Struthio camelus: one gene and its partners. The protein of the gene in region 4 purifies or fractionates together with the protein of the main gene of each other region. This does not show direct contact. Links are inferred from orthologs where the notes say so. Each region holds a gene or a part of one and is shown on either strand. Other genes may lie near its edges. The genes, in order: RPA2, SNRPA, KNSTRN and PRPF19.

Region 1 (7,958 bases), on a different chromosome or scaffold from region 4:
TCTGGATCGTAATCAATCACCCGGATCCCAGGGTTGTTGGCTCCATTGGCCACTCCAGGTAACGTTGTTTTCCAAGGAGTCACTCCAGGGGCTAAGAACATGACATTGATTGGAGAACCTTAATAGAAAGACAAAAGAAACCATGAGTCAGAGAGGTCTGGCTTGGAGCAGACAACGAGCATCCTGACCACTGAGCACCTTGCACCCATTGCTCACCAGATCCAGTTACAATAATGCACGCAGAAAGATCTGATGCTATTCAACACACTGAGATTGAATACGTGACATTTCCAGCTAAAAGCAGGCCTTCTGCAGCTTGGCATGAGTGGAAGACTCTACAGTGAGGGTGAGCAAGAGAACCACCCTCAGTGAACGAGACCCAAAGAGCCATTGTGAAGACCTACAGTTGCTCCCTTAGGTCTCAGCTAAGGTCCAGAAACCATCAGTATGGAGCAGGACGAGCAGCAAGGCACTGTGAGAGGAAACAACAAATGAGAGGGGAAGCAGGAAGGACAGCTGGAGCTACAGGTCTGGGTGGGGAATCCCATCCACTGTTGTGTCTTGTTGACCAAAGCATTTTACAAGACGTTTTAGAAAGCAAGACGTAAATGAGCCTTTTCTGACTTGTTGGCTGCAGTCACCGAAAACCCTCTTCAACAATGATTTTTTGGGGACTGAACAGAGCTATCATGCAAATACTTGGGTAGCCAGATTTGATACCTGTATCACTGTAAAACATCCGAAAGCTGTCAGTGTGGTGGTGTCCAAAAAACTGGGCAGCAATCACTCTGTGGTGCCTCTGCACTATTTTCAGGTATCGTTCATTAAAGTTACTCCGGAACCAGGGCTTGCTTCTTTTCTTCTCGAAGAAGCCAGGAGGGATGTGCCCAGCAATGTAAACCTACAAGAGCAAAGAGCTGCGCTGAATGTAGATCCCATGCTTCCCAAAGAGAGCACTGGCTTGCTGGTCCTTGGCACACAAGAGAGATCAGGAGTGAAAGGACCTTCCAGGCTGGGAGAAGCCCTCTACAAAGGCATGGGGGCTTTTGTTGTTGTGTGGGCTTTTTTTTTTTTTTTTTAAATACCATTTCTTCTGCTTTTGAGGCGTTGGTCAATGTTTCTTCCAACCACCGGAACTGCCCTCCAGGATCTTCCTCACCAGCCGTCTGGTTATTCTGGTCATAGTACAGATTGGTATTGAGGACAATCATTCGCCCACTTGTATTTGGGCTGGGCAGCTTCTCACTGTAGAAAGCAGCTGTAAAATGCAACCAGCAGGAGAAAGAGCTGGAATTCTGGCCACACAGCCAATTGTGTCCCCAAATCCCCGGGCTTTTACCTCTCTCAGCTCTCCTTGGCAATAGTCACAGCAGAGTCACTATCTAGACAAGGTGCCAGCAGCTCTGACTGGTTCCAGAGTAACCAGCAGCTCTGACCAATCCAGGATATGGATTTGGTGTGACTCTTCCCTGTGTCTTCTTGTCCCGCATATGCCACTCAAGGTGAAGAGAGACCCTGGGTTTTAAGAGTATGTGCAGGACAGTCCAGGAGCTGGGAAGCTATAGATAGCTACTGTTGTGGCTTTCTTGAAAGATCTTTTTTATTTTCACTGAAGCTCACCATCCTCTGCAGGGACACTTTCCTAAAACTCTAGGAAAGCACGGAGAGACTAAAGCATAAAGAAAGTCCTTTTCCCACATGCAGGAAAACTCAGTGCTAGGAATCAATCTTAAATTGGACCCTTCCTCTACAAGCACTGCGGCTTGGGGAATAAAAGCAGAGACAGCACGTTCATGGTGACTTTCCCAACCACCCTATCTTCCCAGGACACTGCTGACACGGGCTAGTGGTGCCACACCTGCTCTGAACAGAGGAATGGAAGTATCGTTCAGCCAGGAGCGCCACAGTTCAGCTGTTTGGTTGTAGATCCTGTGCTCCTCCCCTGGAAACTGATTCTTGGGGTGGAAGTCATGATTGCCCATCACAGCGTAGACTTTAGTTTCTAGAGAAAGAGAAAAGGAAGCACAGAGGAATCCAAGCTTGCTCCAGAGTTCTTCAGCACCAAAGCTCTCTAGAGAGCTTACAGACTCAAAAAGAATAGCATGGCTGGAGAGCTTCATAAAAGGTTATCATCCACACTAAACTCCTGTGGTTGCACGGACTGGGGATACAATACTGCAAGACCATGTGTCCTCAGGGAAGCCACCCCAGAGCAAGACTGCTATGTTTTTACAGATGGAGTCAGTGAGATTTCCTTGTCAGTAATACTTCTTCTCCCACTAAGCGAGAATAAATTTTGTAGCTTCGTTTTTCTTAATGAGTAGTTATAGAAATGTTTCTTTTCCACTCTTCTGAGTGAATTAATCTGAAATAGCAAGGGTGTGTTAGACATGCCTCAATCAAACAGCCTGTACAGCAACTAGGAAGAAGACAAAGTAGTCCTAATGCCCACAGCATTTCAGTGCCTTTCCCCTTCTTAATTATATCATTTCTCCAGAATGGTAAGTTCTTCCCATGAGACTTTGTACTCCTCTCCCCTATTCATTCTCTCAGATCCTACCTGGAAATATCTGTTTTATCAGAGAAGTCAGATTTTCAATTATGTGCAGAACCTGTTTTTCTCCAAGCTGCTCATTGGGGACATGAGGAGTATCATCTCTGGAGAAAACAAATGAACAAACAAAAAAATAACAAACAAAAAAACATTATGGGGCACGAATCAGCACTACGTTGACTGGCAAGGGCACTAAGAGAGTTTCAAGGAACTGCTCACAGTAAAAACCTGCTCTGCTTTAGTCTACCTTGAAAAACCTATACACAAGCATAAGAAATTGAGCCTTATTCTACCTCAGTGTATTTAACAGATGCTACAGATGACTGGCGATCTTGTGAGGAACAGCGTTTCACAGTCTGGTAGTAAATTTGGTCAGCAGTGGTAAAACAAAACTCTTTGTTTTATTTTCAATGGAAGAGTTGTTATCCTGCTGCTCTCTTGAGTACAAACGGATGCCTCCAGTAAGCCAATGACCATTGAGATCTACCTCTAAAAACCTAGCAGATACACATTTCAATGTTTTCACTAATATGCTTTTAGCATATGTAGACAATATCAGCTGGTAAGGATTATAAGCCCATTGAAAGATAAGACTAAAATACAGGAAGATTTTGAAGAACGAGGATAAATAGTTTGAGAAAATGTAAAACAAGACAGAAGTTTTAAAGACCAACAACTATTTCTAAGTAGGAATGATCATCTGCACAAATATATAAAGTGGAAACAGTGGGTTAGTCAACAGCGCTGCAGATCAGGATTGGGAGTTACAAAAGCTCATAGCGAACACTGTGCTGTTAGAAGAAGCAGGAAACATTACAGAGGGATGTATGAACTTACAGAAATCATGCCAAACAAGTCTTTCACTGTTTGCAAGTGCTATTAGGGCCTCCTGTAAGGTGGCCACTTCTGGACACCATACTACAAAAAAAGCTCCATTTGGGGAGGCTCTTCATAGTTGTAAAGAAAATTAGCTCCTTTTTGAGGTAAGTCTTCCAGGTTCCTCTGTGTAGTTTGAAGAAATGCTGCAAGCCCTTCTCGTGGTGCCTCTAACAAGGCAGGACTTTGTACACCAACAAAATGAATACGTTCCATTCCCCCAAGCATTTTCAGGTATTCAAAATTTGTGTGAAGTGAGACTAGGCTGGCAACAATTGGAGAAGAAGAAAGGATGGTGAATTCTAACACCTTCCCTCATCTTACCTGGAGTTTTTCAGAGAATCCCTCATTGCTGGGGCTCGTTCAAAGCATGGCCTCCCACTCCTAACAGCCTCGCTGTGCCCTCAGCTCCGTACAGCTCCACTAGCAGACTCCATTTTGTACTTTAAGGCGTATCCAAATCTCACCTCTCCAAAATGGTTACCTTAAGAACCCTGAATCTACCGTGAACTCTTCACCTCCAAGTCCTCTGGCTCCCCATTCTCTAATAACAGCTCTCAGCCAAACACTGGCAATGCCCAAAGCACGCAGGATCATGTCATAAACTGAAAGCGTGAGTAAACACAGAACCAGTACTACCAATTTTTGGATTATTTGGGCTTCCCCCCCCCCTTGTCACAAGAAGATTCCTAAAAATGCAAACATGGGTATTCACCTCCTAGAGCTTCAGCAAAATGATGGAAAACACGAGCCTAGAAGAGCTGGGATTTCCTCATTTTTACACGTAAAGCTGAAGTACAGCTTCAAAGCCTATCCTATACCCGCTTTTTTCTGAGGGACGGGCCGGTGAAGCGGCCCGACCCTTGAGGGGGCGGCAGAGGACACGCTCCGCCGAGCCCCGCGCAGCCTCCTCCGCCGGGCGGGGCGGCCGCTGCCTGCCCGGGGCCAAGTTCCGAGCTCAGCCGGTGGCGGGGCCGCGGCCGCCCCCTCCGCGCCCGGCCTGGCTCCTCACCCGGTCCAAAGGATGAAGTCGGGCTGGCGCAGGATGCCCCTCATGGCGAAGATGGAGGAGTTGAGCAGGCGCCAAGGGGAGTCGCAGAGGTAGCTGCCCCAGGGCCCGGCGGCCGGCACGGCCCGGGAGCCGCCCGAGGGGCACACCTGCGAGGGCTCCGCCGCCGCGTCGTAGCCGGGGTCCCAGTGCAGGTCTGTGATGTGCCAGAAGCGCCCTGCCGCCGCCGGGAGAGACGCCGCGACTTAGCGGGGCGGGCGGGCGAGCGAGCGAGCGAGCGAGCGAGCGAGCGCCCGACAGCCGCCAGCCGCCCGCCACCGCCCCCTGTTACCTGCGAGGGCCGCGCAGAGCGGGCAGAGCAGCAGGAGCGCGAAACGCTTCATGTTGGCCAGGTTCGCTCCTACCCCTGCTCCGGCCGCGGCCGCGGCCCCGCCCCGCCCCGCCCCGCCGCGCGGCCCCGCCCCTCCCCTTCCCTCCCCGCCCCGCTGCGCCGCGCGGCCCCGCCCCTCCCTGCCCCTCCCCTTTCCTCCCCGCCGGGCCGCTCGGCCCCGCCCCGCCCCGGGCCCTGCTCACCTCGGCGGCGGTCGGGCTGCGCCAGCACTCAAAATGGCGCTGTCAGCCTCCCCGCCGCTTCCCCCCACTGGAAGGAGCCAGAAGAAAGGCGATTGCGATTGGCTGACCGGCCGGATTATCGGGCCCGCGGATTGGGCAGCTGCCGGCGGCGCGCGGGGGGACTACGCGGGTCCGTCTCGCGCCTGCCGTTAGGCCTGGCGCCGCCGCAATGTGGAGCGGACAGGGTGCGGGCCCGGGGCGGTGGGGGCGGCCCGGGGCTGCCGGGGAGCTGCCGCGCAGCCGCCGCGCAGGAGCCGGTGCCCAGGGCCAGCGCGCGGCGGGCTGTGCTGCCGGCGAGGGAGGAGCCGGGGCTGCTGCGCCCGGTGGCGGCGGCGGCGGCGGCGGGTAGCGCGTCTCTGCCGCCGCCTCAGGGTCTCTCCCTCCCTCTCCTCAGGTACCTTCGACACCGGCTACAGCAACGTGGGAGGCCCGGGGCCCGCAGGCGGCTACATGCAGTCCCCGGGAGGCTTTGGCTCCCCCGCAGGCACCCAGGCTGAGAAGAAGCAGGTAGGCCTGGAGCGGGGCCTCGCCGGGCCCCGGGGCGCTGGGCCGCGGCGCTCCGCCCGCCCCCTGCGGGGCGAGGGCCAGGCGCTCGGCCCGCGGAGCTGACGGCCCCTCGGCATCCCCTTGCAGAGAGCCCGCTCCCAGAACATCGTGCCCTGTACTGTGTCACAACTGCTGGCTGCTGAGCAGGTCGATGAAACCTTCAGGATCCGCGACGTGGAGATATCTCAAGTAAGCGCCCAGGGTGGCCACTGGGCAGAGCTGCCAAACCCCGAGTGGGAGCGTTGCGAGTGGCAACAGCTTTCCCGTGCCAGTCCCCCACTGTAACGTTTTCCTTCTTCCAATGCAGGTCACTATCATGGGGATAATCCGGCATGCGGAGAAAGCACCGACAAACATTCTCTACAAAGTAGACGATATGACAGCGGCCCCGATGGATGTCAGACAGTGGGTTGATACTGACGTAAGCACCAGTGGGGAGTACAGCGGAGAGAATGAGCTTTTGGATGATTCTTGTAACACCAGTTGGGTAGGAAAGATGGAAAAGATGGAAAAGATTTAAGTTGTAAGCAAAGAATGGAAGAACAAGAATCTAACTTTAGCTTGGTCCTTGTTGCGTGGAAGAAAAACTCAAAATTTAGGTTTTCTTAGTCATTTTCAGTAATTCTTTGTGATAAACACCCCATCAAATTCTCTGTGTGTGTTATGTTTGTGTTTATTACCCCTCTCTTTGTTATGAACTTAACGTTTTCTTGAAAAAATAACGTGACTGGTTTGGAAAATGTTTTGGGAATAATGTAACTCGAAAAGCTGAGGAAAATGTTGCAGTAGCAGAGGTCACCAGTGTTGTATATGAGTCTCCTCCTGCTTTATAATTCTACGCTTCTACATTGAAGCATGCTGAACAATTTTTGAGGTATTTAAAGGCTGAAGCTTGAACGTTGCTTCATAAATGAATTGAGAGGCATTTACAAGAGGCAATGGGCAGAAACTGAACCACAGGAAGTTCCATCTGAACCTGAGGAAAAACTTCTTCACTGTGAGGGTGACAGAGCATTGGAACAGGTTGCCCAGAGAGGTAGTGGAGTCTCCTTCGCTGGAGCTATTCAAAACCCGTCTGGATGTGATCCTGGGCAATATGCTCTAGGTGACCCTGCTGGGGCAGGGAGGTTGGACTAGATGATCTCCAGAGGTCCCTTCCAACCAATTTCCCTTCCAACCTAAACAATTCTGTGATTCTGTGAGAGATGAGTCCTCAATACCTTTGTGTAGAAACACAAGGACAGAAAGTATCTGAACAGAGATTTTTGTATATGGCTCAGTGACTGATAATACCGGTGAGTATCATCATTGCTGATGCATGACTCCTGAAGTGATGGTAGTTTTCCACTGGATTCTCATGCTGATATAACAAGCTTTTAAAGCTGGACCCTGTTATTAAAACATATTTGAAGGCAAACAGCTGAGTTCAGACGAACAACTTTGAAAGAGTAATTAAGCAAATGTTCAGTCGGCTTAACGACAAGTTTATCATAAATTAGAAGAGGATTCTGTGACTGTTTCCATAACCGTAACCCAAGTTTTATAGCTGAACACTTCCTTTTTACTACTTCAGGGCTTTTTCCCTCTTGTTGCTTTTTGAAGATCCCCCAGAAGCGGACAAAGACATCGGAGCGCTGTAATACAAGTGGCTTCAGCTGCTCTCAGATATGCAGTGTATTCAAACAAGAAGAATTTTTTTTCCCCTTTCACTTAGTTTTTCCATTTTTCACTTACACTAACTGTTCGTATTGGATGTAGGAATGTATGGCTTTTGTGTTTGCTTGAGATAAGCCTCTTTTCTCAAATCACTTATTGTGATAGTGGATAAATGGAAATGTGAATCAGGAAAACCTTGTTTTTTCCCCTTTTCCTTTCTGTTAGGAGGCAGGTGGTGAGAATGTTGTAGTACCTCCAGGAACTTACGTAAAAGTAGCTGGTCATCTTCGGTCTTTCCAGGTAAAATCATGTTATTTATGTATGACTCCTCAAGTAATGAGGTTGGAGCAGTGGCTTGAAGGATTACTGATCTTGTAAAGTGTTAGGGTCTTTGTAGAATATGCAGTTAATCATGATCTTTAGTCAGCCTTTCCTTGAATGTTTTTGGCAATGCTGTTCCTAAGTGCAAAGGACAGAAGATCCATTTAAAATTTCATTGTTCATCCGTACATTGTTTTCTGCTGAACAGTACTGGCCACCACATTCTTGAATGTTTGTACTGTAGAGCTTAGATTTTATTCTGGTCACTAGGGGACACTTTATAAAGGGTAATAATGTCATACAGTTACATCATAATAGTCACTGTTTAAATAGTGATGTGTGCATTAAAGCAAAGTGCAGTTAGTTACTAGCCAGTTAGAAAAT
Region 2 (7,305 bases), on a different chromosome or scaffold from region 4:
GGATGCGGCAGGCGGAGGTCCGGCTCCGTTCGACCCCGGGGTGCCGCGGGGGAAGGAGAGGGGCTGGGGGGCAAAGACTCAGCCAGCCTCGGGGACAGACTTACCTTCTAGGGGAGGGAAAAACAAGCGAGCGAGCCCCGCAGAGGGGGCTGGCTGGGGACGGAGAGGCAGGGCTAGGGGGAGGGAGCAGTCCTGGGAGCTCGGTGCCTGCGAGATCACTTCTTGGCAAAGGAGATCTTCATGGCGTTGTTCTGGGTGATCTTGAAGCCTTGCAGCGCGTCGCGGGCGGCTCCCGCCTGCACCTCGTTATCGAACTCCACGAAGGCGATATCGTGTCTGCCCGGCACCAGGCGCACCTCCTTGAACCCGGGGAACCTGGCGGGGGACACGGGCAGTGAGAGGGGCCCCGACCGCCCCCGCCGTGCCTCCCCGCGTGCCCGCAGCCTCCCCGGCCCCGGCCTGCACTCACTGGTTGAACAGCATCGAGAGCATCAGCTCGTTGGTCTCCTCGGGCAGGTTGGTGAGGAAGAGGATGTGGTTGGGCGGGTTCTCCGAGAGCTGCTGAGAGAGCCGGAGTCAGCCCGGAGGGGCTCTGGGGGGAAGCTGGGCACCTCCTGGCCTCCCGCAGCGCTCCCAGAGGAGCTGAGGGAAGGCCCCGAGTCCCGTTCCCTGCCCCTCTCCTGCGACAGGGCCACCCTGCAGCCTGTGAGGTTTGGGGCTGGCACGTTTTCCCTTGGACTCTCTCTCGGCCCGCATGCACCTGGGCTCCCAGTGCCCGTACTGGGGCGCTAGGAGAAGCCCAGCCCCCGGCTGTGTTGGGGGCATCTGTCCGGGCATCGGGCATCACCTGCTGGGGGGGCATAGCCCCGGGAGGGATCCCACCGGGAGCCATGCCGGGCGGCGGGATCATGCCCGGTGGCGGCATGTAGGGCGGCTGGCCTGGCATGTGGTGCATCATGCGGGGCGCCTGGTTCATCGGCGGCATTCCCTGCGGGAGAGAGACGAGCTCAACGCCCAGACCCCCGACACCCGCCCCGAGCGCGGCCCCGGCGCTCCGATCCCCTCTCTGCGGCAGCTCCGGGCAGCTGACTCACGGGAACGGCTCCCTGGACTGCGGACGCAACCGGAGCCGCAGCCCCAGCGATCGCTTTCTTGGCTGAGGAAGCTTCTTGGCCTTTGGGCTTCCTCTTCTCCCGCTTGCGGTCACGCTCCACGAAGGTTCCCTTCATCTTGGCGATGATGTCCGAGTCTGTCTTCGAGTACTGAATCCTCTGCGGAGGGAAGGCAGAGGAAAACACGTCAGGGGGGCACTGCGGACCCAGGGGGCCGGCTCCCGGCAGCGCGGTGGGCAGGGCTCACCATGGGCTTGTCGTAGAAGGGGAAGCCCTGCATGGACCGCAGCGCGTTGGTGGCGCTACTGATCTCCTTGAAGATGACGAAGGCTTGACCCCGCATCTTCAGGCTCCGGGACACCAGGATGTCCAGGATTTGGCCGAACTGGGAGAAGATGGCGTAAAGGGACTTCTTCAGCTCTAGGAGACAAAGTTCGAGTCTGACACGTGTTGAGCAGCAAGGAGAATGAGCAGCTGTTGCTCATAAGAGCAGGCCTCCTCCTGGAGACAGATGGGCCGTTTCCCTCTGCAGCCAAACAACTTTGACCTTTCTCAGACAAACCAAAGAAAAAGCTGCCTCCACAAGCACCCCAGGGCCTAGATGAAGGTAGGATCCCCTCACCCCTCCCGCGTTCCCCTTCTGCCTGCTCAGGCCGCCCCTCACCATCCTTCTTGATCTTCTCGTTGAGGTTGTTGATGTAGATTGTGTGGTTGGGGCGTGCGTCCTGGACAGCCATGCTGAACACGTGACACCTGGATCTGCGAGGAGAGACCAGGCTGGAGAGGGCTGCGACGGCACTGGGGGACGGCGGGTCCCAGTTGTGCCCCCACAGGCAGTGAGAACCCTAACCCGGGTGCAAATGATGGGGGGGGGAAACAAGAGGGTCACCCCCTTCGAGCCCTCCTGGCGTGGGGGCTAATAGGTCCCTGCAAGGGTCCAGGGTCTAGGCGTGTCCCACAAGGTGGGAGAAAGACCCCAGACCCAGAGGCTTGAGAGAAGAAACAGCCCCAGGAAAGGATTAAATTCCCCTGGAGTGGAGCAAAACCCCAGACCCCTCAAATCCAGGGGGTTGGAGAAGGAAAAAACCCCAGGAAAGCTTTAAATATCCCCAGGAGGGGAAAAGACCCCAGACCCCCCCCCCAGATCAGGGGCTCAGGGAGGAGACACCCCCATGGGAGGGTTCAACCCCCTCGGGGGGGGAAGACCCCAGACCCCCCCCCCGATCAGGGGCTCAGGGAGGAGACACCCCCATGGTAGGGTTCAACCCCCTGGGGGGGGGGGGGAAGACCCCAGACCCCCCCCCCAGATCAAGGGCTCAGGGAGGAACCGGGCCCCAGAGCCGGGCTCGGGGCGGGGGGAAGGATCCCTGACCCCCCCCCCCCGGAGAGGAAGGGGTCAATACCCCCCCAGGGGTCACTACATCCGGGTCCTTCCCCCTCCCAGTAGAGGGGGGGAACATCCGGGTCCTTCCCCCCCCCAAAGGTCGGGGGGGGGGAGGACCCGGATGTGGAGACACCCGTGAGGCCCGTCCAGCCTCTCGGCTCCCCTCCCGGTGGCGGCGGGGGCTGCTGCCGCCTCCGCCACCCCGCCCGGGCCCTCCCGCTCCGCCCCGCGCCCCGGCGGCACCCGCCGCCGCCGCCACTCACCGAGGGCCCCGAGCGCGCCGCCGCCGCCGCCAGGCCCTGCTCGCCGCCCGCCAATAGCAGCGCGCCCGCCTCGCTCTCGCCCGCCAATAGCGAGGGCCGCCAATCAGAACGCGGCAGGCGCTAGCTCGGCGGCCAATGAGAACCGCGTGACCCGTCTCGGGGCGGCCAATCAGAACGCGTAGCCTGGGAGCCGCCCGCCCCTCCCTCCCTCGGGATTGAGGAGCCCCCTCCCCAGCGGAGCGGCGGGCGGCCACGCCCACCACCTGCGCGATTGGTCGAGCGCGGTCGGCGAGGTCTGGTCCGATTGGCCGGCTCCGTCACGGGGCCCGGAAGGGGCGGAGCAGAGGCCGGAAGCACGCGCGAGGGCAGCGGCGCGGGGGCACGTGCTGCTGCCGCACGGCGGCCTGACCTCTGACCCCTCTCCCCGCCATGACCTCTCACCTCCGGCCCGGGCGCCCTTTGACCTTGGCCTAGGGGATGGCCCTGGTCGGGGCCGGGGCGGTGCTGCCGCCAGGCCCCGCCCCCGCCCGGTGCGCCCCGCCCCCCCCGCCGCCGCCCCCCCCCCCGCCGCCGCCGCCGCCGCCGCCGCCCCCCCCGGGCCGCTTCCTGCGGGAGGCGCTGGAGCGAGCGGAGTCGGCGGACCGCGACGGCGGCGACCTCCGGGAGCTGCTGCGGCGGCGCCGGGAGAGGTGGGCGCCGGGGCCCGGGGGGGTCCCGGGCTGAACCGGGGGGTCCCGGGGGCCGGGATGAACCGGGGGGGGTCCCGGGGGATTGAGGGTCCCGGGCAGCTCGGCCTGACCCGGGGGGTCCCGGGGGTCCCGGGGCCTGGGATGGACCTGGGGGAATGGGGGGGGTCCTGGGGAATTGGGAGTCCCGGAGGGGCCTGGGGTGCGGGGGGTCCCGGGGCCTGGGACGGATCCGGGGGAATGGGGGGTCCCGGGGGACAGGAGGGTGCCGGTGAATGGGGGGACCCGGGATGACCCGGGGAAATGGGGGGTCCCGGGGAATTGGGGGTCCCGGAGGGGCCCGGGATGAGCCGGGTGATTGAGGGGGGTCCTGGGGGACGGGGAACCCTGGGGTCCGGCATGAACCAGGAGAAAGGAGGGACCCGGGGAGCTCGGCCTGACCCGGGGGGTCCCGGGGGTCCCGGGGCCTGGGATGGATCCGGGGGAATGGGGGGGTCCTGAGGAATTGGGGGTCCTGGAAGGTCCCGGGATGACCCAGGGAAATGGGGGGTCCCAGGGGATGGGGGGTCCGTGGGGTCCGGCATGAACCAGGGGAAAGGAGGGACCCGGGGAGCTCGGCCTGACCTGGGGGACGGGGGGTCCCGGCCTGACCTGGGGGACGGGGGGTCCCGGGGCGGACCGTGGCGATATCCCCCTGTGGTGGCCGGGGGGGGGGGTCCTGGACCCCGCGTGGGCCATGTTCCCCCCCCCCCCCCGCAGGTCACCAGGGTCCTGCTGAGCCTCTGCCTCCCCCCAGCTTCAGCAGCGACCTGCAGTGGCTCCTCGTCCACCGCCCGGTGCCGTCCCTCATCCAGGAGGGCCCCCAGTAAGTGTCGAGGTGGGGTGGGGGGAGGCCGGGGCTGGGGGCCGGGGGGTCCCGGCCACCCACGGCCCCGCTCGGCCCCCTCCAGGTGCGGGCTGGTGGCCCTGTGGATGGCCGGGGCCCTGCTGGAGCCGTCGCAGGGCGTCTCGCTGGAGCAGATCGTGCAGGCGGCGCGGGACCGGGCCTTCACCGCCCAGGGCGAGATGTTCTCAGGTGAGGGGGGCCGGCGGGGGGGCCGCTCCGAGCCCCGTCGGCGCCGTGCCGGGGCGGCGGCGGGGACCACCGGGATTTCCCTGCCCGCTCTGTGCCCCCGCAGCGGCTGACATGGCCACGCTGGCCCAGGAGCTGTTCCCGTGCCGCGCGGAGCTGCTTTCGGGGGGCCTGGAGGGGGACAACCGGCCCCGGATCCTGCGGCACCTCGCCGCCGGCCGGCCCCTGCTCGTGCCGTATCCTCCCGCCGCCGGGCAGAGCCGCGCGGCCCCGGCCCCCTCCGCGCCGCGCTGCCCCCGTTGTGCCCCTTAACGCCCGCCCCAGCTACGACGAGGACAGCAACCACGAGCCCTGCTGCCGCCAGGGCCACAAGGCCCACTGGGCCGTGGTCTCAGGTACGTCCGCGCCGGCGGCAGAGCGGGGCGGGGGGGACGCCGCCAGGGAGCCCCTGGCCCCGCTGCGGGGACGTTGGGGTCGCCCCGCGGCAGAGCTGACGGCGGCTCCGCTGCAGGCGCGCTGCTGGGTGCGAGGAGCCCGGCGCTGAGCCCCGGCTGCCGCGAGGACGCCGAGATCCCCGGCCTCTTCCACCCCGGCCCGGGGCCCCCCCGGCTGCCGCCGGACGACGAGCTGGCCGAGGTCTTCCTGCTGGCCAAGCAGGGCAAGAGCCGCCGCGTGCAGCTCTGGGGCTACGGGCGGCTGCACGAGAGCAACGCGCAGCTGACGGACTTCAGCCCGCGCCGGGCGGGCGACGGCAAGGTCTACGTGGTGCCGGCGGGCGGCGTGCGGGCTGGGCTCTGCGGCAAGGCCGTCCTGCTGCACCCCCCGGCCCCCGGCGTGTAGCCACCGCCGCGACGTGGGGGCGACGCGGGGCCTCGTCCCGGCTCGCTGCCGGCGAGCCCGCCCTGCTCTGCGCCGCCGCGTCCCCCCCCGGCGCGGGCAGGGGACGGTCCTGGAGGGAGAAGACGCCCCGGTTCTGCTGCGGAGGGGGGAAGCCAGGACACTTCCCGCTGCCGATCCAGCCGCTGCGTCCGGGGAAGGCTTCGCTGTCCCGCTCGCCTCCGGGAAGCGCCGTTAACGGGCGCGGAGAAGGGCCGAGCCCGCGCCAGGCTCGCGCACGCTGCTTCGCCCTGGCCGCACACGCGATTAAAGGCGAACGTTTGAGCCGTGCTCGTGTCGGTTCCCGCTGCACCGCAGCGGACCCCCGCGCCGCCCCGACGCCGTTGCTCCGCGCGCAGCGTTGGGAGCCAGCCTAGGGAAACTGAGGCACGGCCAAGGCAGGCCCGGACACCTGGGTCCCCTCTGCGGCCCTGTCGCTGGCTAAGGGGGAGGCTGAGGCAGGGGTGGGGTTGCCTGGGGGTGGGGCCCGGACGCCTGGGTCCTTTCCCACCCACCGGCTGGGAACGGGGCTACCTGGGGGTCCCAGAGGGGTCGCGGCCGCTGCTGATCTTGGGGCTGCATGGGGGGGCGGGGCTTGGGGAGGGGCGGGGCTTGGCAAGCAGGGACAGAGCACCCCTGGGAGGTGCATGAAGGGAGCGATGGGGCCCTGGCTGCCATGGGGATGGGTGCAGTGAGGTGCAGGGTGCAATGGGTCCCCTGGTGCACTGGGGCCCAGCTCCAATGGGGTCCTGGGTGCAGTGGGGTGCAGGGTGCAATGGGGCTGAGGTGCAATGGGGTGCAGGGTGCAATGGGTCCACTCGTGCAATGGGGCCCCCGGTGCAGTGGGGCCCAGCTCCAATGGGGTCCTGGGTGCAATGGAGCCTGTGGTGTAATGGGGCCTAGGGTGCAATGGGGTGCAGGCTGCAATGGGGCTCCTGGTGCAGTGGGGCCAGGCACAATGGGGCTGGGGTGCAATGGGTCCCCCAGTGCAGTGGAGCTGGATGCAATGGGATGCAGGGTGCAATGGGACCCCCTATGCAGTGGGGCCGGGCGCAATGGGGCTGAGCTGCAATAGGGCCCCTAGTGCAATGGGGTGCAGGGTGCAATGGGGCTGGCATGCAGTGGGGTCCCAGGTGCAGTGGGGTCCCGGGTGCAATGGGTCCCCCGATGCAGTGGGGCCAGGTGCAATGGGGCTGAGGTGCAGGGGGGCCCCCAGTGCAATGGGGTCCCGGGTGCAATGGGGTTCAGGGTGCAATGGGGTCCCGGGTGGAGTGGGGCCGGGTGCAATGGGGTCCCGGGTGCAGTGGGGTGCAGCGTGCAATGAGGCCGGGTGCAATGGGGTGCAGGGTGCAATGGGGCCCCCGGCGCAATGGGGCTGGCGTGCAATGGGGTCCCGGGTGGAGTGGGGCCGGGTGCAATGGGGTCCCGGGTGCAGTGGGGTCCAGCGTGCAATGAGGCCGGGTGCAATGGGGTGCAGGGTGCAATGGGGCCGGAGAGGGGGAGAGAGTCACCCCGCAGCCTGCAGCGCATGCGCGCTCCTGCAGCCCCCCCCCCCGCCGCTCCGCCCTCCCGGCAGGGGGCGGAGCCTCCCCTTTCCCTCCTCTCCCATTGGCCGCCCGCCGGCAGGCAGGTCAGGCTCTGATTGGCCGGCGGCGGGGGCGGGGCCGCTGACCCCGGAAGCGGCGCGATGGCGCGGAGCGGGGTGAGCGGGCGCGGCGGCCGTTGTTGCCCTCTGACCCCCCCCCCGCGGGCGGGCGGGCCGTGACCTCTGACCCCTCCCGCAGGTGGCTGCCGTGTGGCCGCTGCTGCGGGGGGCCGCGGGGGGGGCGGCGCCGCTGCGACCCCCCCCGGGGAGGCCCCGGACCCCCCCCGCCGCCCCCTGCAGCCCCCCCGGCGGCGAGAGGGTGAGTCT
Region 3 (7,001 bases), about 1.0 Mb from region 4:
TAACAATATGGCACAATAGCACACGGAAGAAGCATAAGCTTACATACACCAAATTAACTGAGTTAGTAATACTAAGAATAATGTCAGTGTCCCTCAAATTCTTAGTGCCCAGCAGTGACCTAAATCCAAGTTCTTAACTACTAAAATGCAGGTATATACACTCCTGAAAAACCCCCATCTTCAATACTGTATGCAGTTCCCACACCACGCTTCTTGTGATGGGGTAACAGAACTAGCAGAGATTTGGCAAAGGGAATAAGGATGATCTAAAAAAATTGAATAGCTTATCTGCTGTATGAGGAGAGATGAAGTATGTTAGGAGGTCAGGATGAAAGAAAGAATTAACAGACCAAGTCTTGAGTGGTAATTACTAAGAGATTGTTTACAGTTTCTCACAATGTAACAAGGGAGCATCTGTCAACACTGAGGCTGTTTTATGCAAGCATATAATTGTGAACTTGAAATGTTCTCCTGCAATGAGTTTAAGATGGAATTGGAGCACTGATGACTATTTAACAACAATCTGGATAATTTGGCATTATCTAGCCAAATACATCTGCATTTCTGCTGATAGACCAATGATATCCTGCTAGGACCTGTCAAAGAAGAAAAGATCCAGCCTACTCTTACACTCTACTAGCTTCTGATGGAGACAGAATAACAAGCAAGCATTTGGTCTGACCCTATAGAGGGCAGAATATAAGAATTGCTCAATTAATGTTTTTCTCCTTACCTGTGCTCCTGCTAGTCGGGAGTGCAGTTGTTGTTTAGCTGTTTCTAACAGCTGATTCTTGGTCTTCAGCTCTGTCTCTAATTTGTATCTGCTTAGAGGTCTGTAGAGTCAAACATCAAAGACTTAGGTGCAAAAATATCAGCGTTACATACCCCTTCTTTTATTTTCACCAAGTGTCGTCCTTTGAGTATTTGCTCTCGTTCATGACCAAGAGAGCTTTCATCAGTACACTTGCCAAAAGAAGCTGTATGTGGGGGAGAACTCATCATAACTCTTTGAGATGGAACATTGTTGCATTAGAGCAACTAGTAGCTATTTGAGAAAACATACCCTCTTGCAGCTGTCTTTTTTGAAAGTGGTTCCATTTTCTTGGCAGATTTAGGAAGCCTTAAAAAACAAGAAGAATACTATTACCACAGAAAGACACTGCATATTTACAGATTACCAAGTCTGCTGGTTTGAGAAGAACTGCAAAATGCTAAGCCACTTTCAGGATATTTATCAAGTAACAAATCCATCACTATTTCACTTTCACTTACCCTTGGTTTGTAGCTTTGAAGACACCATCTCCCGGCATATTTGAGCTAAAGTTAAAATTGGGATCCTTGCTAAATTGTAGATCAGCTGTTTTGCTGACACATTGTTTCTTTGGTGGAAACACCATTTGCATTTCTGCAAGAGAAAGACAGCAATGAAAATACCACTGTCTGCAAGAGATCACTGTAATGTGCCAAACTACTGGAGCTACTAAGCTTTCAGTTTGACAAAAAAAAACATCTTACAGGGTTAGAACTGAGAAAGCAACAACTAACTAACAACTAAATTCTACTCATGGTTCAAAACAAGCCACAGATAGCTCATGGCAGACAGTGTTAAAATATAATTACTAGGCTAGCACTAATAGGATAAAGCTTGAAAACAATAATGCAGGCATGATAGTAAAGGAGGTCTCAACATTAGGCAAACAGCAAGCCACAGTGTTCCAAGCAAAGCTGTGCAGCACTGAAAGCAAATATATACAGCCCACATGAAATTCTCAGTGTAAGAGAGCTTTGTATTTTAATTTCCAATAGATATACTTTTGAAATAACTCTAAAGAGAACTAGCTATTTATGTAAAGTTTATTTGGCCATAAAGCACATACATACATGCATAGAGTAAATAAAGCTTTGCTTACAGAGTGGCTTTTCAGAGCTTGTTTTGTGAGCTAAGCCTTTCTCAAATGGCATATCTATATCCAATTCATACTAGAGTTACACAGGGCAGGGGGGGTTCTATTCCTACACACTGGCTCTCATGTTCTAAATTTTAAGTCTAGGTGCCTCATACTTATAACAGGTAAAATGCTGCAAGTAGTATCTGAAGACCTACAGAAGTAAGAGCCTCTGAAGAAAAGTATTTTTAACCTCACAAAGCCACTGCATCCAGATAAGCAGGAGATACACCCTCGGCAGGCCTAACATCAGCACCAGACCAGCAGTCATCTCAAAAGGCTCAGCTGTGATTCTGATAGTAACAGCCCACCCTCCTCAAAAACACAGGTTTAGCCAAGAAATTTTAACTGCAAAATCTTAAGCAGAGATGATGCAGGTGTATAATTTCTATCAGAAGGTAGCCTAGGTTAGGAAAAAACAACAAAAAACTCTTAATAAGATTTCCACAACAGCCACCACAGACCAAGGCAGTATCGGAGCTCCTTAAAAGCTGCCTCCACTCCCGCCGCCCTCTGCGCTGGCCTAAGGCAGACACCCAGCACCGAGGGCCCGGGACCTCGGGGCAGGGCAAGGCAAGGCGGGCCACGCCCTCCCTGCTTGCCTGGCGGAGCCAGGCCGGGACGCACCTGCGGGGCCGCCACGGTGGAGCGCGCCGTACACGGGGATGCGGGAGGGCTCGCTCTCCATCCTGCGCCGCGCCGCGCCGGCCCTCCCCTCAGCGGCCGCCGCCCGGTGACGCCTCTCCAACGGCTGCTCGCCTGCAAGCCCCGGCACAAACACCCTCACCCAGAGGCATCGTACGGCACCGCTCGGGCGTCAAGGCCCATTTCCCCATCCCTCCCCCCGCCCCGCCTTGCCCAGCGCCCCCTCGCCACCGCAGGGCGGGAAGAAGAGGGGAGACGGGAGAGAAGCACAAGAACGCAAAGGCACCTACCGCGCTCGCGCCGCCCGTTTGAATTCAAGCCGGCGCCTAACGGCTCCCGGGCGCGGCACATGCGCAGGCGCCGCCCGCGCGCTCGCCCCGCCCGCGGAGGCGGTGGTGCTGGCGCCGCGCGCAGGCGCAGTGCGGAAGCCGGGGAGGCGGGCAGGGGGCCGTTGTGTTGGGGGTGGGGCTGCGCGCGTGCTGTCTGCCTGCTCTCGCCTCAGGGGAGGGGACGTGGCGGCGGCGCTGGCGGCGGGGCGGCTCTGGCGGGGCCGGGCTCCATCTCGCTGCGGCGGCTCTGACGGGGAGGGTTTCAGGGGTGCCCTCCCCGCCGCCTGAGCCCCGCCGCTTGGGAACTCGGGGCAGCGGGGGCCCTGCGGGCCGTGCCCTGGGGGGAGCTGGGGCCACCCCCTCAGCGCTTTGGGTCGTTAAAGTCGCCCTCCCCTTGGCCCACACCGAAAGGGAGAAGGAGGCTCCTCTATAAAATCCGTTTGCTTGCTTGCTTCCGTGCTCTCATTGTTTTTTTCCAAGCATAACTTTCAAAAGGGGTGGCAAATCCTTCCAAATAATAAGGGGAGGCTGTTGTGCGGAGAGCAATTGGCTTGGTGTTGGCTTCGCGGCTTGAGTGCGGGTCCGCTTGCCGAAATACCGAGCTGAGCACCCAGCGTGAGAGCTGCTCCGCGAAAATGCAAACCCCCTCAGCGAAATTGAAATCAGTTACATGTTTCAGGTTGGGTTACTAGCTGTAAAAGTGCAGATGCCTAATCTACCTTTGGCAATCGCCATCCCTTTCCCACAGAGCAGGCAAAACGACTGTGGGTGTCAGAAGAATGAATCTCTTCAGGTGCATGTCTTCCTTTTGCTGATTATATTGCAAAAGACATGAGACTCGTAAGAGATGAAGAAAATGAGCCACGGTATTGGTGAAAATGAAGCATCACGCAGATTTAGGAAAGTTTGTCATACGCATTTATTTTACGTTAACCTGTAGAGAGAATGTTTTTCTTCTTTCAACAGATAAAGGCCAGGAAGTGTTTGTTTTTCTGTTTGTTTCTGGTAGAGAAAAAAATGTAAAATTCAAGAGTTGTCAGATATGCAAATTTTAAAAAGTTACATGTTTATCTAGAATACCTTGACTGGAAACAAGCTATGAAGACAAAACACAAAGCGCCCAGGACAAGGACACTGTTTTCTCAAAGGGAAAATCTCACGTTGAAAATCTTTGGCTGTACCAGAAGGAATTTCTTCTGGTAAAACAAACTGAAATTGTTACTGAAAATACATTTGGGCTGGGTTTTATTTTTATAGCCTCCGTGATCAGTAAAAGACCATATCAAGTGAAAAGTCTTGATGAGATTGTTTGAAATATCTAAAGTGTTTTGTAGAGATCTGTGAACCTAGACTTCACATAAAACAGTTTCGGAATCAGTAGAAAAAAATGAAAGCCTTTCTTTTTGTTAACAACTCTCTTCACTTGATATCTAGATTTTATATATATATATATATATTTATTTATTTATATGTTTTAAATATGACTTCTCTGTCTTTAAATATCTGGAGAGACTCATCTCTCAGTATTTCTCTCCTGTATGGGTCTGACAAGAAAACAAAATCTAATCACCCTGTAGGAAATGACAGAGAATGTTTACTTGATAAGCTCTGCAGTACAGCTGAGTATGTGGAACAGGACACTGGAAGGTCAAAGAGCTTGTACTGCGTTAAGATTGATCCCCTCACTAGTATTGGATTTGCTGGTTCTGTGAAAACACAGGTGTTTGCACGGCTAAGAAATAGTCTCAGCTCTAGGAGAAATGGGAGGAAAGATGTGATATTTACAGTTCAGAGGAGATTTTGCCTTTCTCCTTTCCCAAGCAGTACGGTTTATTTCCTGCAAAATTTCAACTGCTGTAACCAGCATTTTGTGCACTAGATCGTTTGATCCAAACATCAGGCATATCTGGTTGGCTGTTTGGTAACACAACTGGATCTTCACTCCCTAATCCAAATCGATTTTTCCATGAGGAGCTGTTTTGCTGTGATGCTACTGGCGAGATATCAAACACAGTCTCCCTCAGGTCCAGCCGCAGGGTATCTCTCTTCCCGTTCAAGTAACCTCTTTCTGTTTGACTGTATGAATCTGACAGCTCTAAAACATCTGGACAAGAACTGGCTGATTCAGCAAGTTTTAGGCCTTGCTCAAAATCACTAATTGACGTCTCACTGGAGATGTTGAGCATGTCAAAAGAGCTGCCAAGAGAACAAAGGCATCTGTGAATTTTGTAGATGTCAGCAGCAGGAAGATGACTGTTGTCTGAGGTATAATCTGACTGCTGCTGGGCAGTGTCACTAGAGCACTGTGATTTATTGAGCTGCCCGTCATCTTTCACACCAGCCAGTTGGATGTGGTCCAGCACAGACTCGTCCCAAGCTTTTGGACCGTACTTTTGACATTGACAATCTCTACAGAGCCTCTCCCTTTGAATTTCTGCTCCTGAGCTGCTGTGCTTGTATGGAGAAGACGTCTGTAAGGCAGGGCACTGACACAGACCAACCTGCTGGTCTCCAAGAGTCTCCTGCAGATTCTGTCTTTCTCTTTCAAGAGAAGGGTGCATTCCTGTTCTGGGGCATCTGTTGTCTTCCAGTTGTGTGTCTTCAGACAGTACTGATGGCCGATTGGACAACTTGCTTGTGGAAGTGCTGTTGTCAAAACTGTCACTGAGTTTTCTGGACAAGGGCTGGAGCTCATATTGCTCATTTGCAGTGTTGGACTCCTGGACCTTACGCAGTCTGTTTTGCTTCTCACTTCCCCCACAGGCAAAGCTTCCATTCAGCCCAGAGTCATCAGAATAGTCTTTCATGGTGTGGGCACAAGGCCAAAGGATCTGCCCGCAGTTCTTCTCTGGGCCAAAGAAGCAGCACAGTGACTGGAAGAAGAAGCTGGCAAACCCACAGCTGATACACTTGATCATCATTATGAATATCCCCAGCTTCCTATACGCCAGGACGGTAGCCGGCAACATGATGACCCCTGCAGAGAACAGAGCAGAAGCTGCCATGGCTGTGGCACAGCTCATCTGCTTCAGGGAAAAGGCCACTCGGCTTAGGCGATCAGAATGGGGGCACAAATGGTAGGAGATGCAGTAGTTCACGGTAAAGTCAACGGAGAGACCTACTGCAGCTGAAATGAAGAGAGATTCCACTGCATTGAGCTGCCATTCCAAGAGGACCAAAAGGCCAACAGTTACCAGGACGGTGCCTGCAATAGCAGTAACGGAGAAAACGCTAAGGAGAACGTTCCAAGTGGTGAGCAGCAGCACTACAAAGGAAATGGCTATGGAGAGCCCCATGACCACCATCGTTTCTGTGCTAAGACTGTGCTGAAGATTGTATAGCTCTAGTTTACTGGTAAACCATCCGTTTTGAAGCCCCACGGGGGCAGTTTTCATTTCCTCTGTTATCCAGAGGTTGATTTCCTCGTAGAAATGTTTGGCTTTGCTGTAATTGAAGCTGTAGTGATAAATAGTTTGAAACTGTAGCACTAAGGCAGCAAGATTTCCCTCTCCGTCAAACCTGAGACCCAGATCATATGTTTCAGCCCCTTCCCTACCTTGTTCCAGGAGCATCATTTTGATGCAGTGTAGGAAAACGTCGCTTCCGTACGGGAAAGAGAACTGGTTACAACAGAGGTTGAAGCTGTGGTCTCGTTGGGAGCATTGGCGACTGTCCATCCACCTGAGAAACTCCTCCATGAAGCACACGGTAGATTTCTGCTCAGCATCGGGGTAATAGAACGTTTTGTTCTTCACTTTCTGGCAGAATTCGAGGAGCCACTTCTGGGCATCGGGATTTTGGATTGTAAAGGTGATATCTGTCACTAGGGTGCCATTGCTTTTTGGATTGAAATGATCCCCATTATCCACAGGCAGAATGCCCCATACTATTGTGACAGGCATACGCTGTCCTTCTCCGTGCTCCAGCCTCTCAAACATGAATTGGTGACAGTACTCGGAATCGTACCTCTCAAAAGGATGGCTCAATCTAAACACCTGAACAGATGATGTCTCAAGAGTAGGCAGTTTGAGCTTAGGGTTGGAACAGGAAATGTAGGCACCTCCTATTGCTAAGGCTGCAA
Region 4 (7,842 bases):
GGGACTAGGAGGACACTGGGCGAGCCTGGGGGGATAGAGTCAGACAGAGTCAAGCAGCCAGCCAGACCAGCACCAGCCAGGTGCCGGTGGTGGGGAAGGCTGGAGGAGGATGGGAAGGGGGAAGGGGACAGATCCCGGCACGCCTAACCTCCCTCCTCTCCTCCAGCCTCAGCAAACAGATGGAGACAGACATGTGCGCGGCCCGGCGTGTTGCAGCCTGTTATGGGCCCCAGGCGCCCTTCGCCTGCCCCAGAAACACAAGACCCACACCCAGCACGCCTGCCCTGACCTGCGTCCCCCAACCAGGGGCAGAGCAGGTCTCAGGGATGCCACTGAAGCCCCACTTAGGTCTCCAAGGGTTTGGGGTCAGGAACAGACCGTCCCTTTGTGCGTGGTGGGGAAACAGCCTGGCGCAACGGGGACAGAGCCCAGCTGGCGTCCCCCACCCCACAGAGGGACCCACCAGACTGGGACACAGCACAGCCAGGGGCCCCAGGTGGCAAGCACAGAGCCGGCCACTTAGGAGATGTTAATCCCCTTTCCACGCTGCGCGGCAGCGCCAGGGCTCGCTGCCCCAAAAAAACCAGTCAGCCAGCGGGAGGGACAGCTGGGACAGCACCCCGGCTCGAGCCGCCGACTCAGAGCCCTGCTCCTGTGACATCCCAGCCCCGGGGCGGCCTCACAGGATGCCCACGCCGCTCCCCACGCAGGGCGGCCGGCCACAGTCTTTTCTTTGCCGCTTCTCTGCTGGCACAGGAAAATGAACTCCCCAGCCCAGCCAGGCGGTGATTAAATAGTGTTTATTTGGTACCACGTATCAAAACAGTTTAAAAAGCAGCTTAAAAAACAAGAACCGACAAAGTAGGGTTTTGGCAGCTGTCCCCTAGAAAAGGTGCACGGCAGCAGTTTGGCACCCACCACGCACAATCGCAAGCCCCACTTTTGGGGAAGGGAGAGAAATCGCTGCTGCTCTCCCCAAAGGGAGGTCCGTGGCTGGAGACCCCCCCTTCCGAGAGACACTCAGAGGAGCGGAGCAGGTTCCCAGCTGGCTAAGCCGGATCCTCTCCCTCCTGCCTAGCCACGTCCGTACCCGCACATGGGACAGATGGACACAACGGCTTTGTGCTTGGCATGGGCAGATGCATGGCACTGCTGCCAGGCCAGGCAAACGCACCACGGATTAAAACGCTTTCCCCTTGCTCTCCTCTTTGGTGGGGCTGGGTTTGGAGATGGGGAGCGAAGGGAGTCGCTAGAGCCAAGGCCCCCCATCTCCCTCCGTGGGTGCAGGCTGTGTAAGGCACCGCTGGCTAGAACTAAGGCACTGCAGCGCGTGTGCAGGGAACAGGTCCCCAGCGCCGTGGGTGCTGCATGGAGCAGGCGCCCTGTTCCCCTCGCTGGGACCCAGGGCTCTTGGGCTGGAGTTCCTCCTGGGCTGGCTTAAACATGCCTACCGGGAGAACTGGGGGGGAGCGGGTGGTGGAAACAGGAAGGGAGGTGCACCAAGTGGGGGGACCCGGTGGGGAGGGCAGAGGTGGGGTGCAGGGGTGCAGCAGGGGGGACGCATGCTGGGAGTGCCGGTACGGGGAGCGGGCCGGGGCCAGGCTGCCGGGGTGCACTGGAGACAGCGCACCAGGAGCAGACCATGCGCCGGGGTCTGCTGGCGCCGGCTCACTCCTCCTCCCGGTTCCGGGGGCCTCCCCACTTCTGCCGCCGCCGCAGCTCCTCCACCTTCCACTCGAGGCTGCGCACGGTGGCCTCCAGCTCGGCACCAGGGCCGCGTGCCCCCGCCAGGCGCCCCAGCAGGGCGTAGAGCACCCAGAGCCCCAGCAGCAGCCCCGCCTGCACCGTTGGGTTCTCCTGGGAGGCCACGATGTAGATGAAGGCCCGCAAGAAGCAGCACAGCTTCACCCACCACAGCGCGTACTCCAGGAGGTCCAGCACCAGCCCCAGCAGCCGTGACAGCAGCCAGCAGCTCACCAGCATGGCCAGGCCCCACAGCAGCAGCTTCTGCACCTCGCTGGGGCCCAGCCTCACAGTCTGGACCAGGAGGTCCCCTGGAAAGAAGAGCATCAGAGCTAGCTTGGCCATGACCCTCCCGGCAAGGGACGAGACTCTCCTTGCCCGCAAGAGGCTGGGAGGGGTGTCCCTGTCCCTCACCTAATTGTCCTCGGGAGCAAATCCAGGGCAGTGTTCCCTGGAGCCTCCACTTCTACCAGTGAAGGGAGGCCATGGGCTCCACCAAAGCAGCCCCACAGACTGTTCTCTCTGGGCCTCAGTTCCCCCTCCCATGCTTTGCCTGGCCTGCACTCAGGGCAGGGCTGGAGTCAGGGGACCCCAGGGAACGCAGCGGCAGCGCTGGCTCACCGTTCAGGCCAAAAACAGTCAGGATTTCTCCCAGGATCTTGCAGAGAGTAGTCAGAGCCATGGAGATGCCCGAGGACACGGTCCAGAGCACAGCGGAGAGGCTCTGTGAGGAACAGGGAGAGACAAAGCTGCTCAGCATCGTGGGCTGGGAGAGACAATGCACCAGGGGAAGGGAAAAAAGCTTTGCTGCCTCTCCCAGGAGGGACGAGCAGGTACCAGCAGGGCTCACTTCCCTGCTGCTTGAGGCCGGATGGCTCAGTGGGTGGATTGGCAAGGGACGGCTCCCACCACAGCTGTGACAGCTCTGGTGTCCAGGCAGAACAGATCTTCCTATAAGAAGATCTGAGCCCCCTGGGTTTCCCTGCCCCCCAGGGTGAAAGGTAGAGGGGCCCCCAAATCCCTCTCTGGGATGCAGGCTCCCACATCCTCTGCAGGGCTTTGCGGGAGCCAGCAGGAACGTGGGCACCCTGCTTGCCCCTGCCCCTGCCCCACTGGCGGCCGGACAGAGCGCCTCACCTCCGCCACCAGCTGCAGGGGCTCGCGGCCCACCAGGGTCTCCAGGGTCTCCCTCGCCGCTCGGCCCAGCCGCGAGAGGAAGTCTTCGGTGACTTCGGTGTCCTGCCTCCGAAAGCCTTCCTGCCCATCCTCCATCCTGCCCGCTGCCACCCCGAGAAAGGTGGCCCCCAGGATCAGAGCCAGCACAGCCCAGAGCAGGAGCCAGCGCCCCGGATCGCTCCCCATCTTCGGTCTTGTGTCCAGCCCAGGAACCTCTGTGGGGGAGAGAGAGAGCCCGAGTAGGCGCAAGGCTGGACAGGGCAGGGGCCCTGCTGCCCCCGCGCTGGCGCAGGCACTAACCAGCTGACACCTTCCCCGCAGTGCCAAGGCCACCTCGGCTGTCAGTCAAGCCTCAGCCCTGGCCTCAGCCCAGCAGCTTCCTCAGCACACCCAAATTGCTCCCAGCACCGGGGCTTGGCAGCGGCTGCCAGTGCCTGGCCAGCGGGGCCCCGCGCCAAGGCTGGAGGTGTCACTGCCCCCGGCCAGCGCGAGCGTCCCGCGGGGAGGCAGAGCCCTCGTCCCCAGAGCTGCCGAGGGGCTGGGTCGAGCGGGGCGCCGGGCGCCTGCTGCTGAGCGAACCCCGGCTCGGCCGGCTGGGGGGCTATCTTTAGCAAGCCGTCACTGGTGGGCCCCAGGCCACGTCAGCGGGATGCCAGGGCCGGCCGTGCCCAAGGGCAGCTGAGCCTTGGCGGGCAGCTGGGGGCTGTGCGGGGGGCCCTGCCGGGTGGCCGAGCCGGGCGCCCAACACCCATTCCCGCCCCCGGAGGGACAGCTGCGCCAGGGGCCAAGGGGCACTGTCTCCACGACCGCCAGCCCCTCCAGGACACCCTGCACCCCCAGCACCCAATTCTACCCCAGCTCTTTCCGCAGCCAGGTACCCTATCCTGCCCCGGCCCTTCCTGCCACGTCCACCTGGGCTTCCCAGTCCTCCTTGGCCCCCGAGGTACCTCATCGTTACGGGGTGCCCCATCTCTCCGCATCTACAGAGACCACACTTCCTGGGGTATCTCTGTCTGGCTCCTGGGTGCTTCCATTTCTCCCCATCCCCTAGGTGCCTCCAATCGCACAGGACCCTGGTTCCCAGGTTCTCCAGCTCGCCCACCCCCCAGCACCCCACCCTCGCCCCTTCCCGTCTCTCCCACCCCCAGCCCCCCACCCTCACCCCTTCCCATCTCTCCCACCCCCAGCACCCCACCCTCGCCCCTTCCCGTCTCTCCCACCCCCAGCACCCCATCCTCACCCCTTCCCGTCTCTCCCACCCCCAGCACCCCACCCTCACCCCTTCCCGTCTCTCCCACCCCCAGCACCCCACCCTCACCCCTTCCCGTCTCTCCCACCCCCCGCACCCCATCCTCACCCCTTCCCATCTCTCCCACCCCCCGCACCCCATCCTCACCCCTTCCCATCTCCCCCCCCCGTTCCCCCCCCGGTCCCTCCCGATCTCCCCCAGGGACCCACCTCCCGGGAACCCCACGCCCCTGCTATCCCCTATCTCCCCGGCCCCCCCACCCGCCTCGGTGCCGCCCCCCGGGGGGCCCCCCGCCCCCTCCCCTCCCCTCCCCTCCCCTCTCCCACCACCCGGCCGGCAGGGGGCGGCGCTCACCGCCGCCGCCGCGCGGGGGCGCCGCAGGGCCGCGCCGGGGCTCCGCGCGCGCGCCCAGCCTCGGTTCGGAGCCGCCCGCGACGCGGGGCACGCCGGGAGCCGTAGTCCAGGGGCCGTGCACCCCGCGGCATTCTGGGCGCTGGTCGCCATGGCAACGCAGCCCTCGCCGGCGCCTGTTGGGCGCGCCGTGGACGGGGGGGCGGGGGGGGGGAGCCGTCGCCGTGCCTGCCCCCGGTGCACGCCGGGAGGCGCCGTTCCCGCGCGGGAAGGGGCGGGCGGAAGCGGCGGGGCGGCCTTCGCCCCCCCGGCGCGAGGCACGCCGGGAGCAGTTCCGTTTCCGGCGGCGGGGCCCCGCGTGAGCGCCTCGGACCGTCGCTGCGGCCGCGCGCGCCGGACCCGGACCCGGAGGCGGCGGCGGGGCGGCCCCGGGGCCCGCCATGGCCCTCATCTGCTCCAGTGAGTGCGCGGCCGCGGGCCGGGCCGCAGGCGGCCGCGGGCCAGGCTCCGGGGCGGCGTTTCGTGCCCGTGCCCGTGCCCGGCCGGCCCCGCTTGGCGGGGCTTGTGTCGCCGTGAGGAGCCTCTTCTGCCCCCTCCGCCGCGCTCGCTGTCGCGGCCGGGGGGTGCGGAGCAGGGCGCGAAGGGCCTCGACTCTCCCCTCAGCTCTCACCTGCCGGCGGTGCTCCGCGAAAGCAGGGCCGTTACCCCAAGGATGCGGCAGCACGGAGAAAGGGTTCTATCAGCCGGTGCAGCTACCCGCAGCTAGCAGCTGCCTCTCCGATCCGCCAGCTGAGAGGAGAAACCTGCTGCTGACGCCTTGTCTGAGCAGGCAGCACAAGCAGGGAGCGCTGGGGGCCTGAGCCACACTCGCGTAGTAGTATAGAAAGATTTCGGAAAGCTTGCTAATAGCTGCCTTTTGAGGCGCTGACCTGGGTGCGCTTGGCCTCTGGGCCTTCACTGGCTTGGCTGATGGGGAGGGGAGCGATAGATGTTTTGCTAGTGTGGCATAGAGGTGGCAACATACGTCTTAGAAGGAGGTCTGGTCTGCCTCTCGTATCAAGGGCATGTTGCACAGTGTAGTTGTATTCTTGGGGAGGACTTCAGTTTTTTGGGTAGCCCTTTTTCTCGCTTGTGAGAGGCAACAGGCCAGCAGGGACTGCCAGCACTTGAGCCATGTCAGGACCTAATCTTATGCTATGCAGTGGTGCTGTAATTTGTGCAATCTTCCTTCCTTTCTTCATACAGTTTCTAACGAGGTGCCTGAGCACCCCTGCGTGTCACCAGTCTCCAACCATGTCTATGAGCGCAGGCTGATCGAGAAGTACATTGCAGAGAATGGGACCGACCCTGTAAACAACCAGCCTCTCTCGGAGGAGCAGCTCATAGATATCAAAGGTAAGAAGGGCATGTGCCAGGAGCAGAGGCGCCCAGAGCCTGAGTACCTGTGCTTTGCAATGCCTGTACTGCTTCTCTCTGGGGAAGCACAGGGGTCTCGGCTGCATCAAGATTGGGGGCACAGGACAGAGATGCACAAGCCATTTTAGGCATAGGCAGGTAGATTTATGAACGTGGATAATGCTGCCAGAGAAAGGACTTGGAGAAGCAGCAGCAGAGTAGAGTCAGTGCAGCAGTGATGTGCAACTGAAAAAATCTGTGATCTGCAGAGGTGGGATGTGCACAGCTGGGGTTTTAGGTATCTTGTGTTGCTGTGCTGTGGGCTGTGCCCAGGGCAGACTGCCAGATAAACTGGACCAGTGGCTGTATCTATTCTGGCAGCAGCTCTAAGTCATCAGGAGAAAGTGCTGGGACCCTGAGAAAAGATTTCCCAAGGGACTGGTCAGTCACTGATGCAGTCAGAAAGCTGAGCTGAAAGGATGGATTGCTAGAAGATGTAAACAGAAAGGAGTGTGTGTGTGTATGAAGGGACTGGCAGGAAACAGGTTTTTTAGGTGATGCTGAGGACACAGTTGACCCCAGAGACTGATATGTTCACACTATCTCCTTGACAGTCGCCCACCCAATCCGACCCAAGCCGCCATCTGCTACTAGCATACCAGCCATCCTGAAAGCCCTCCAGGATGAGTGGGTAAGTGCTGGCCCCTAGCTGGGTTGGGGCTGAGAATGGAGCGGAGTACCAGTGCTGGCCCCTTCGGGGAGAAAGGGCTATCTGCACTGGGGCTAATGTGTTCCCCTGCCTGTCTGGCTCTTCCTTGTCCTGCCAGGATGCTGTCATGCTGCATAGCTTCACCCTCCGTCAGCAGCTGCAGACTACACGCCAGGAGCTGTCCCACGCACTCTACCAGCACGATGCTGCCTGCCGTGTCATTGCTCGGCTCACCAAGGAGGTCACCGCGGCCAGAGAAGGTGACGTGGAGTTGTGTGGGGGCTATGTACCTCTGGATAATGTCCTGGGTCTCGGGGAGAGTGGGCTGGGGAGCAGAGGGCACTGTGTGGCCCTGGAGCAGGTGGGCTCAATAGAGATCGCTGGGCTGGACACCATCTCCTTTTGCCTTCAAGTGGCCTGTCTAACTTATAGGCTTTCTCTGCCTCTGCAGCCTTGGCAACTCTGAAACCCCAGGCTGGCCTCATCGTGCCCCAGACGGTGCCATCCTCCCAGCCAAATGTGGCAGTGAGTTGAGACTGCATATCTCTGCATGTTTGCCCTTTGTTTCCTTTCTGGATGTAACCAGCCCCCTTCTGTCTTGTACAGGGTGCTGGGGAGGCCATGGATCTGGGAGAGCTTGCGGGCATGACCCCCGAGATCATTCAGAAGGTAAAGGATCTTCCACTTGTGCTGCCATGGCCTTTGGCAGCTGCTGTTCTCCAGTTTCCCACTGTGAGAGCTGAGTCAGTGTGTTACCAACCTTCTCTTGTTTTGCAGCTTCAAGACAAGGCTACGGTGCTGACCACGGAGCGTAAGAAGGTGAGTGGCTGCATCTTGCTCTGGGGGATGGAGCTGAGTGGCTTTGGGTGATGTGAAACAAGGTGCTGTGGAAATCAGGATGTGAAATGCCCCTGAGGGAGGCCATTATTTGCCTCCATGCTATTTCTCTTCTGCAGAGAGGGAAGACGGTTCCAGAGGAGCTGGTGAAGCCAGAGGAGCTCAGCAAGTACCGGCAGGTGGCTTCGCACGTGGTGAGTGCCATGGCATGAGACAAGGGCTTGAAAACTTAGCCCTGCCAGCTGGGCATCCAGGCATCTCCTTTGCTGCTTTGCAGCTTAATGAGCAACAGATTTGCTGCTGGGCAACGCAGGGAGAGGGTCATGGCGTTCTGTGCCACAGCCGGTCAGGGGTAGGGGCGTGTGCTGGAATAGATGTGGCA

The links.
Region 1: the proteins of PRPF19 (region 4) and RPA2 purify together in Homo sapiens (affinity purification with western blotting; 4 studies listed by BioGRID, with this or other methods). This does not show direct contact. The link is inferred for Struthio camelus from reciprocal best matches to the Homo sapiens genes PRPF19 and RPA2.
Region 2: the proteins of PRPF19 (region 4) and SNRPA fractionate together in Homo sapiens (co-fractionation; 3 studies listed by BioGRID and IntAct, with this or other methods). This does not show direct contact. The link is inferred for Struthio camelus from reciprocal best matches to the Homo sapiens genes PRPF19 and SNRPA.
Region 3: the proteins of PRPF19 (region 4) and KNSTRN purify together in Homo sapiens (affinity purification with mass spectrometry; 4 studies listed by BioGRID and IntAct, counting the BioPlex papers as one, with this or other methods). This does not show direct contact. The link is inferred for Struthio camelus from reciprocal best matches to the Homo sapiens genes PRPF19 and KNSTRN.

What each region holds. Positions count from the first base shown.
Region 1 is NC_090964.1:2,835,939-2,843,896, forward strand, and holds the start of RPA2 (replication protein A 32 kDa subunit), read left to right. Parts: upstream 1-4,951; 5' UTR 4,952-5,220; coding exon 5,221-5,236; intron 5,237-5,445; coding exon 5,446-5,558; intron 5,559-5,684; coding exon 5,685-5,786; intron 5,787-5,904; coding exon 5,905-6,018; intron 6,019-7,478; coding exon 7,479-7,553; intron 7,554-7,958. Other genes in the region: SMPDL3B (acid sphingomyelinase-like phosphodiesterase 3b), read right to left, coding at 1-118, 721-901, 1,086-1,258, 1,859-2,002, 2,561-2,658, 4,443-4,656, 4,771-4,822. UniProt on the Homo sapiens protein: As part of the heterotrimeric replication protein A complex (RPA/RP-A), binds and stabilizes single-stranded DNA intermediates that form during DNA replication or upon DNA stress.
Region 2 is NC_090957.1:588,958-596,262, reverse strand, and holds the start of SNRPA (U1 small nuclear ribonucleoprotein A), read right to left. Parts: upstream 3,006-7,305; 5' UTR 2,760-3,005; intron 1,872-2,759; 5' UTR 1,850-1,871; coding exon 1,777-1,849; intron 1,533-1,776; coding exon 1,360-1,532; intron 1,272-1,359; coding exon 1,095-1,271; intron 989-1,094; coding exon 848-988; intron 562-847; coding exon 470-561; intron 376-469; coding exon 216-375; 3' UTR 1-215. Other genes in the region: ACTMAP (actin maturation protease), read left to right, coding at 3,237-3,448, 4,242-4,310, 4,396-4,520, 4,624-4,753, 4,842-4,912, 5,029-5,357; COQ8B (atypical kinase COQ8B, mitochondrial), read left to right, coding at 7,081-7,095, 7,178-7,297. UniProt on the Homo sapiens protein: Component of the spliceosomal U1 snRNP, which is essential for recognition of the pre-mRNA 5' splice-site and the subsequent assembly of the spliceosome. U1 snRNP is the first snRNP to interact with pre-mRNA.
Region 3 is NC_090946.1:4,863,289-4,870,289, forward strand, and holds the start of KNSTRN (small kinetochore-associated protein), read right to left. Parts: upstream 3,007-7,001; 5' UTR 2,943-3,006; coding exon 2,882-2,942; intron 2,706-2,881; coding exon 2,574-2,705; intron 1,406-2,573; coding exon 1,273-1,405; intron 1,121-1,272; coding exon 1,064-1,120; intron 834-1,063; coding exon 734-833; intron 1-733. Other genes in the region: DISP2 (protein dispatched homolog 2), read right to left, coding at 4,768-7,001. UniProt on the Homo sapiens protein: Essential component of the mitotic spindle required for faithful chromosome segregation and progression into anaphase.
Region 4 is NC_090946.1:3,854,608-3,862,449, reverse strand, and holds the start of PRPF19 (pre-mRNA-processing factor 19), read left to right. Parts: upstream 1-4,839; 5' UTR 4,840-4,959; coding exon 4,960-4,978; intron 4,979-5,764; coding exon 5,765-5,914; intron 5,915-6,528; coding exon 6,529-6,605; intron 6,606-6,741; coding exon 6,742-6,883; intron 6,884-7,074; coding exon 7,075-7,148; intron 7,149-7,229; coding exon 7,230-7,292; intron 7,293-7,400; coding exon 7,401-7,442; intron 7,443-7,579; coding exon 7,580-7,654; intron 7,655-7,842. Other genes in the region: voltage-gated monoatomic cation channel TMEM109, read right to left, coding at 1,669-2,054, 2,365-2,467, 2,881-3,105. UniProt on the Homo sapiens protein: Ubiquitin-protein ligase which is a core component of several complexes mainly involved pre-mRNA splicing and DNA repair. Required for pre-mRNA splicing as component of the spliceosome.